Linked DNA regions of Oryza sativa Japonica Group. The main gene of each other region encodes a partner of the protein of the gene in region 2 in a complex. Links are inferred from orthologs where the notes say so. Each region holds a gene or a part of one and is shown on either strand. Other genes may lie near its edges.

The links. The genes of interacting proteins can lie anywhere in the genome.
Region 1: actin-related protein 2 (region 2) and actin-related protein 2/3 complex subunit 3 share a complex: the UniProt entries of both Arabidopsis thaliana proteins name them as parts of the arp2/3 complex. The link is inferred for Oryza sativa Japonica Group from reciprocal best matches to the Arabidopsis thaliana genes ARP2 and ARPC3.

What each region holds. Positions count from the first base shown.
Region 1 is NC_089036.1:7,667,405-7,671,610, reverse strand, and holds actin-related protein 2/3 complex subunit 3, read right to left. Parts: upstream 2,801-4,206; 5' UTR 2,666-2,800; coding exon 2,663-2,665; intron 2,203-2,662; coding exon 2,094-2,202; intron 1,991-2,093; coding exon 1,721-1,990; intron 985-1,720; coding exon of another isoform or gene 974-984; exon of another isoform or gene 911-973; coding exon 768-910; 3' UTR 376-767; downstream 1-375. UniProt on the Arabidopsis thaliana protein: Functions as a component of the Arp2/3 complex which is involved in regulation of actin polymerization and together with an activating nucleation-promoting factor (NPF) mediates the formation of branched actin networks.
Region 2 is NC_089042.1:17,335,652-17,339,845, reverse strand, and holds the start of actin-related protein 2, read left to right. Parts: upstream 1-1,394; 5' UTR 1,395-1,507; coding exon 1,508-1,549; intron 1,550-2,215; coding exon 2,216-2,326; intron 2,327-2,419; coding exon 2,420-2,554; intron 2,555-2,698; coding exon 2,699-2,770; intron 2,771-2,862; coding exon 2,863-2,941; intron 2,942-3,069; coding exon 3,070-3,119; intron 3,120-3,657; coding exon 3,658-3,761; intron 3,762-3,876; coding exon 3,877-3,945; intron 3,946-4,028; coding exon 4,029-4,092; intron 4,093-4,162; coding exon 4,163-4,194. UniProt on the Arabidopsis thaliana protein: Functions as ATP-binding component of the Arp2/3 complex which is involved in regulation of actin polymerization and together with an activating nucleation-promoting factor (NPF) mediates the formation of branched actin networks.

The sequences.
Region 1 (4,206 bases), on a different chromosome or scaffold from region 2:
AACCTATGTATGAATACCTGGCATTAGATATCCTTTGTGTCGAATGATATTTTGTTTTTCTGAATCTATGTATGAACACCTGGCATTAGATATCCTTTGTGTCGAATGACATGGTGACTGACAAGCCATAGAGCTTGAATATCACCTCAGGTCTCAGTGATGCAATGGGCTTTGCATTCAAATCGTTTATAAGCACCTTGTATCAAAGAATGCTTCATCGAATAATGAAATTAACCATGCCAATTCACACTTGAGGTGTTTATAAGCAGCAGTTTACTCCCAACGTTTGGCAAGATCAGGGAAGCGCACGTCCAGGTTTCTCCATATCTTATAATCATATTGAAAAAAAAACAGATAAAGGATTAACACGAATGATACAAAAAAGAGGGATCAGGAAAATATATATTCACATTCTCATTACACCTGATTAAATCTGTACAAATGTCCTACACGGAACATTCGCTATTCAAACATCATCTGAAAAATACATGCCCAATTTAAGGGCACGGACGGAGTACAATAAAAATGAAAAATAGAAATTCAACATAACAGCTGAAAGGTGTCCTTGTGTTCATCCATTGCAATAAACAAATTGTTGACATTCTATCCATTGTTTCATTAGAACCTTTGGCTCCATCAATCGAGGTGTAGAATCATTGTCGTTCCTTTAATTCTCTAAAGTATTCGCAGAAATAAGTACGCAAGTGCAATTACCATTCCTACAAGCTGCTCAATTGCTCAAACATGTCGCGGAAAATACCTATACTTCAAAGAATGACAATGTTCATGAATTTCCTCTTTGCAAAAGCCAACCACCATTTGTTTGGAGTACCATTAGCTCTGTATGCGCAGTTAAGCAACCTTCCACTTGTTTCCTCCCTTATCTGCTTCAGATAATTCCTCAATAGTTCTGAATCCAACAGAGAAATGCTTAATTGAGATCACATTCCATGAGAGATGGAAAGTTACTGTTTTATTTAGTCCCTAGAAGTAAAAAAAAAACTGATGCAATTACAACTTGGATGTTCCTAAAAACAGTTGTCAATAGTCAGTAAGCAACTTATTGCTTCTATACCCAGAGCAGACTTATAGTTTAGACCATAGAAATTGACAAAAAAAAAACATATATACAGGACATCAAATAAGGAGTTCACTACAGATTTAGTTAAATCCAAAATAAAAGTATCTAAGACATAAATTGCTGTAGTTTGGAAAGGTCCCCTTGTAATCTCACAAAAGCTAAATTTCCAATAGGCTTCATTCTTTTGTTTTTTCCCTAGCCAGGACAAATAGTATGGTATAGAAGAAAAGCAGCATGGATAAACAATTGGGGGAAAAGAAGAAAAACTAACTATTCGAGAAATAAGGCAAGCTTTTCTCTAGGAATAAAAAGCAACAATGATTTCACACAGTTGAGAAACTACTCCCTTCGGACTGATAATACTTATCGTTTTAGACAAGGGTGAGGTCAAATTTTAGAATCTTTGATTATGAATCATTTTTAAAATATGGTGACTACATGTATAGATTAGTCTTAAAAAGTACTTTAATAAAATCATATATTTGTTAACACCTTTATACATATTATAATTAAAAATAATGGCCAAAGTTGTTTTTTGGAAAGCGTGCTCTTGTCCAAAACGACAAGTATTATCAACCCGGAGGGAGTAAAAGAGAATACAAGCACACAAATGTGGTAGTGGCGGATGAAGTCATATACCTGCTTCCTCCTGAGATTGGGGTAGAGTGAAAAGACCAGGGAAGGGAAACCCTGGTTCCCCAGGCACAGGAACTTTCTCCAAACCCAGATTAATGATTGCCTTTGTCCCAACAGCCAGTGTTCGGCAACCTTCCAGCCTTTTCAGGGCAATATTGATGTAAAATGTCAGATAGATCAGTAACTTGTCTGCTGGGCTTTTCACATTGAAGTTTTTGAAGAAGACATTTGCTCGGAAGAATGTAATTGCTTCATCAACAATGTCAGCCTTGTCTGTAATAGCACGACATAAATCAGCAGCTTGGCATGGTTCTGTCAGAGTGAAACCACGGAAGTATATCACAATGTATTTTATGTTGTCACCGTGTCAGTATACCTTGATCGAATGCTGGCGCTGGGCCCCTTATATGAGTTTTTAGTGGAAGCAAAGGACAGCCGCATGCTTTGGTAATCCCGGTGTCATCAACAAAGCTAGAGTGATAAACCTGTCCACAAGTAGAAAAAAAGCATATGATGTTCAGATAACGGTACATTGCAAGCAAGTGAGCAACAGCGATCTAACAAAACAAGGTGGAAATACAAGGAAAATTAAAGGTGAAAACCGAGCAAAATTCTTGTATTCCACACAGGGCCTATAACACACCAATCTAATAGAACAGGTACTAAAGTATCTTCCAAGACCTCCATTCAAGAGTGCCACAAGCTGCCAATATTATGTACAGGAGCGGATCCAACTTGGGACATGGGGGTTCAAACTTCTCGGGGAATAAACAAACTGTTACTTGTATTAAGGTTAAGGCTCTGAAATTAAGGGAAGAGCTTCTTCCAGATCTAGAAGAGAAGCTAGGGTTAACGAACGAACGAACGAACGCAAGCAAATTCCAGACAAAAGTAGTCCCGATGGGAGAGAGAGAGATGAATCAGAAAGAGGATGCGGATGCTCACCATGAATCCTCTCCCCTGCTCTGCTCGCCCCGATGGAGATCGCCGCCCCTCCCCTGTTCAGCCGCGACTCGTCTCGGCGGCGCAAGGAGCGGAGGAGACAAAGAGACGGGAGATTTTCTTTTCTTTCTTTTACGCCACAAAGGGAAGGGGAAGACGCTCAGACTCTTACTATTGGGAATTATTAAGAATTTACCGCTGGTCCCACATGTATATACGGACGGACGAGTCTACGGATCGTGCGTCTGATCGGTTTGGAGAAAAATCGGACGCTTTACGTGAAAAACTATTTTAAACTGATTTTTCTCTTAAATTACTTATCCATATCATAATCCGATTGCATCATTAAATTCGCTGCAATTAAATCTTCAAAACAAGGCCACACAGGCATATATTTCGACGAAAAAAAATTTACCTTATTATTGAATTATTTTTAAATGTTGCACGATGTTCCACCAGGTATATCGGAATTGTTTTACTAAGTAGATCGAAAATATTTCACTCGTTTCAATTGGGTGTTGTTTTACCTTATATAAAAACAATGTTTCAGCAAATAGTGAAAGAATGTTTCAGTTCACTGCAACTTTTGATCCATATATAGTGAAACATTATAAGTACACTAGGTGAAACATTTTTCGGTGGAACAAAGAATAAATCAAATTCCCTTAATAGGGGGTTTCCAAAATATGTGGGTTTTTTTGTTGCAATGGAATATTTTAGTTCACTGCAACATTAGATCTATACATAGTGAAACATTATGAGTACACTACGTGAAACTTTTTTGGTGGAACAAAAAGTAAACCAAATTCCCTTAATATAGGGTTTTCAAAATATGTGGGTGATTTGTTGCAATAGAGTTGTGTGTGTGGACAAGTGGCAGGTGGGGACAGGGGACATGTGGTGGGGGCCCAAAGAGATTGCTGGTGCGCACGTGATGGGGGAAGGGTGGAGCGACCGATTTTTTCCCCTCCCCTCGCGCGACCGAGAAGGAGCATTCTCGTGTCATATACACATAAGGATCCACGTATTATAGATTGTGAGTAGTAAATTCTTAATTACCATATTTTAAAAATGGTAAAAAGTTAAAAGCTCTAGACGAGTACTCTCACCTTTATGATATCTCAATATTTTACTACTTTATAAGACTAGCTATTTCTTTATAATGACTATTTCTTTATAATGACTAGTGGTCCACATTCTAAAAATTAACAAACTCAGTTAGCGATTTGAGTCGACAACAAACTCTTCATACTACCAGTAACCACTAACTATTACTCCACGCACCGCCACCACCACTCTTTCTTTATGAGCCACCATCGTTTCTCCTCTCTGTCTTTGCATGCGCAACTGCACCCTCTAGTTGCACTCCATGAGCCATCTTTTTTTCCTCTCCCTCTTGTCATGCATACTATTGTAGCGACTCACGGAGGCAGGAGTCGACCCGATGAAGAGTGGAGACGCTAGATCCAGGCTCCTTCTTGCTGGATCTAGCGGTTCCCCAACTATCGGGGGAAAATAAAATGGAGAGAAAGAGAGAGTTAGTGTGT
Region 2 (4,194 bases):
AAGAACTTAAGAGCAAAAAGTTTTGCAATCATATAAAGATGACATCATTCTAGACAATAAGGTTAAACTATTGAATTGTATCATATGTGAAATACGTTGGTTTTTTTAAGTTATAGAAAGTTGCTAATCGTTATTTTAGTATTCTGAAGTTAAATTAAAAATAAAATTGAGAGTAGGTCTTATAACCTGTAGCTAAATTTTATCGTGTTAAGAACTTAACAACAAAAGTTTCCCAATCGTAATAAGATAGCATCATTTTAGACAATAAGGTTAAATTATTGAATTGTGTGAACTATAGTTATAACTAATATAATTTGAAGACGTCTAGCAATATTTGAGAAGAAAAAGACGAATAAGTAAAATGCAGGCTTACATTAATATACTCGCTCAATCTTTACAAATACTTTTAATCACTATATCTACTACATATAAAATTATTACATTCTCCATTTATTGAATCAAATAATACTATTAGCAAATCAAACCAGCTCAGGCTTTGGTCGTTGGTAAAAAACGTTTTTTTACTAGTCTGGCTTCGGCTTCCTGACCAGCGGTAGCGCTAGCTTGGTGAGTATCTGTCCCTTCAATTGAGGACAAATTTAACTATTAGGTGGCAACCCTCTAAACGCCCGATTAGTGCCTCTCTCTCCCTCTTCATCTCACCATACTACCCCCTTCATGCTGGTCGTCTCAATCTTATAGCCACCTCGCTAGCCGTTGTAGATTGGTAGCCACCCTACCAATTGCCGGAAGCCTCCCTGTTACCATGCCTGCTCATTGTTGGAGGAGCTCTAGCACAAGGTAAGCGTTGAGGCCAAATAACTCGCCAGGCGATAAGAGGAAGTTTGGTGCAGGAGGAGTCCCCACTTAGAAGTGGAGGTATTTTTTTAATAACAATGGGTCTCCAAGGACAACAGTTGTGAAGAGAGACCTAGGCGGCAGAGGAACTAGAGGGCGTAGGGTTCCCCAGGTTAGGATGTGACGTCAAGCTCGTCGCCACCCAAGTTCCAAGATGCACACCTTGTCTTTGTCGAGCTCAAGCGGTCACCTCATCGTCAGGGTTGACGCCCTCCTTCATGTTAGAGCTAGTTTGACAACTAGCGGGTACAACGATAGGGACTTTGCTATGATTAAGGTGGCTGTTAGGCTTTAACAGCTAGCGAAGAAATGAAATATAAAGAAATTGCTAACCTTGCTATGCTAGCGGGCCATGTAGATAAAAGTATAACAAACCACCTTTATTGGATGATAATTTTGTGAAGACAAAATTAAAAGGAGGCATTTAGCTCCCTCTATCAAAATCCTCTTGCTTAAGATCGGAGAGACGTGGTCGCTGACACGTGGGCCCGATGGCAATGGGCTCCACGTGTCAGTGAGACAAATGACTACTCTCCCAACCCCGTCCCCGTCCCTCCCCTACTCTCTCGCCTTCTGTTCCTCCCCCTCTCCCTTCCAACTTCCCAAGCGCGCGCGGGGAGACGATCGGCGACGGCGACGGCGAGGCGGAATGGACAGCGGGAACGTGGTGGTGTGCGACAACGGCACCGGGGTAAGCCCGCCCTCCCCCCCTCCTCCCGCAGCCTGATCCCTGATCCAGCGTGGCGACCTCCCTCCCTCCCTCTCTACCTCCACGCTCCTGCCCCTAGATCTGCACCCCCTCCGTCCCGGTTCTTCTTCTTGGACGGTTTCTTGGATTTCTTCTGAAATTTCCTGAATATATACGATAGGATTGTTTCTCTCTCTTTGGTTGGGGAGTAATTAGCATCTGTGCTCTAGATTCATTTGTGCCGAATAAGTTTTGCTGCTTACTACTGAGCTGTAATTAATCTAGGATGAAATGATACGTGTGCACATTGCAAGAAATTGAAGGGGGAAATTGCTCTAGTATGGTGGAATTATTGTTCTCCACATAGGCAGGAAAAATTGCTGTAATACGATGAGATTATTGTTCTCTGTTGAATCTTTAGATAATGTCCTTCCAAATGCGGAACTGGAATAGATAATGTTCATTCATATAAACCACATTAGTTTGATATTTTGCGGTCCAAAAGAAATTATGCTGTTGTCTTTGGCTTAGTTTCTGTTAAGTATTTTCCACATCATTCCTGTGGCTTGATGTTCGATATGCTTAAAGCCTTAAACAACAGCAGAACATATCATATTCATAGGTGATCTTGTTAATTTCTAATTCGGTACCTAATGGCTAATGTTGCAGTATGTAAAGTGTGGCTTTGCGGGAGAGAACTTCCCTACATCTGTGTTCCCTTGTGTTGTTGGGCGACCATTGCTCCGTTATGAGGAGTCACTCCAGGAGCAGGAATTGACGGTCTGAAATCAATGTCTATCTTTGTGTTTCTGGCATTCCCTCATTCTGTCTCTCTCTCAGTACACCTTATAATTGTGATTGTGTTCCACGCAGGATATTGTGGTTGGAGCGGCTTGTGCTGACTTGAGGCATCAACTTGACGTATCATATCCTGTTACAAATGGGATTGTTCAAAGTTGGGATGATATGGGCCATATATGGGATCATGCATTTTACAGTGAGCTGAAAGTATGACTTTTCATATGATTTATATTACTTTAACATCAGACCCTTTTAAATTTATATGCTCATAATTCATCAACATTCTCCGTTATGTGTCTTGAAATCTCTTAGCTCTAGGTAAATCAATGTATTTCTATTTTGTTTCTTTAGGTTGATCCTTCTGAGTGTAAAATTCTACTGACAGATCCACCACTCAATCCTGTGAAAAATCGTGAAAAAATGGTAGGTTGTTTTCTCCCATCTGGCTGTTCTGTACTATGAAATTTGTTTTTTAAGATATCACTAACTAGCAAATTGAATCCTACGATAAATAGATTGAGACAATGTTTGAGAAATACAACTTTGCTGGGGTATTCATCCAGGTCCAAGCTGTTCTTTCGCTATATGCTCAAGGTACTCTCTCTCTCTCTCTCCCCTTCCCCCCCTCTCAGTATACAGACACATGTATGAGCTTGCACACCTACAAACACAAAATGTACTGGTTCTTTTCTTAACATGTATTATGTTTGTATCCTTTCCAGGTTTGCTGACTGGACTTGTCATAGACTCTGGTGATGGTGTCACTCATGTGGTATGATAATAATAGTCTTCCCTATATTGTACAATCTACAAAGATTTGAAATGCAGAGATTCCATTTCTGTTAATCTTGTGGTGCACTACAAAAATATCTATCTGATGCATGTTTATAATTTTCTACTGTGCTAATGGGTATTCCTCAACTCAACAACTAAGAGGATCTACCTTTTTTTGTTGATCCAGTGAAGATGTATGACCAAGACTATATGCATACCTTGTTTCCTTGTAGGCGGCTTAGTAGAAATCACAGCCATTGAACACCATAATCTATGATTTCTGGTCAAAATGTCGATCATGGAAATAAAATGATAATTTAAACTATACTCCATAGTCCATAGTTAGTATGGCATGCTAGTGCCCGTTTAGTTATTCTCGCACATAGCCAGTTAACATTGTAAGGTTATCACCAACGTGTGTAGTAAGTAGTAAGCACAAAAAGTTAAGCAATTGAATACTGACTATTGTCAATTTGCAATGTGAAAGAAAGTTTTATCTAGATTTACTTTTGCCCGTCATGTTTATTATGATCCAGGTGCCGGTAGTTGATGGATTCTCTTACCCACATATTACAAAAAGAATGAATGTAGCTGGAAGGCACATAACATCTTATCTTGTTGATCTACTCTCAAGAAGAGGGTAATACTCTTTATCATTTTTATATGTTTGTAGATAAAAGATGCTCTGAAAACACAGGCTTATGCAATTGTTTGCTTCAGTGTTTTTCTTATCAACTTAATTTCGTGCTTTAAAGGTATGCTATGAACAAATCTGCCGACTTTGAAACAGTCCGGGAAATAAAAGAGAAACTATGTTATTTAAGGTCAGTTGCTTTATTGTTCTTAATTGTTTTCGCTATAGCTTGCTGTCACATTTCATAGAATTGAAAAGGGAAAATATGTACAGCTATGATTACAAGCGTGAATACCAGCTAGGACTTGAAACCACTATCCTTGTCAAAAGCTACACTGTAAGTATGTTAACCTGCTTTGTTTCTATTTGGTCCCTTTTTGTATTATTGGCTGAACTTTTGTCATCAGCTTCCAGATGGAAGGGTAATCAAAGTGGGCAC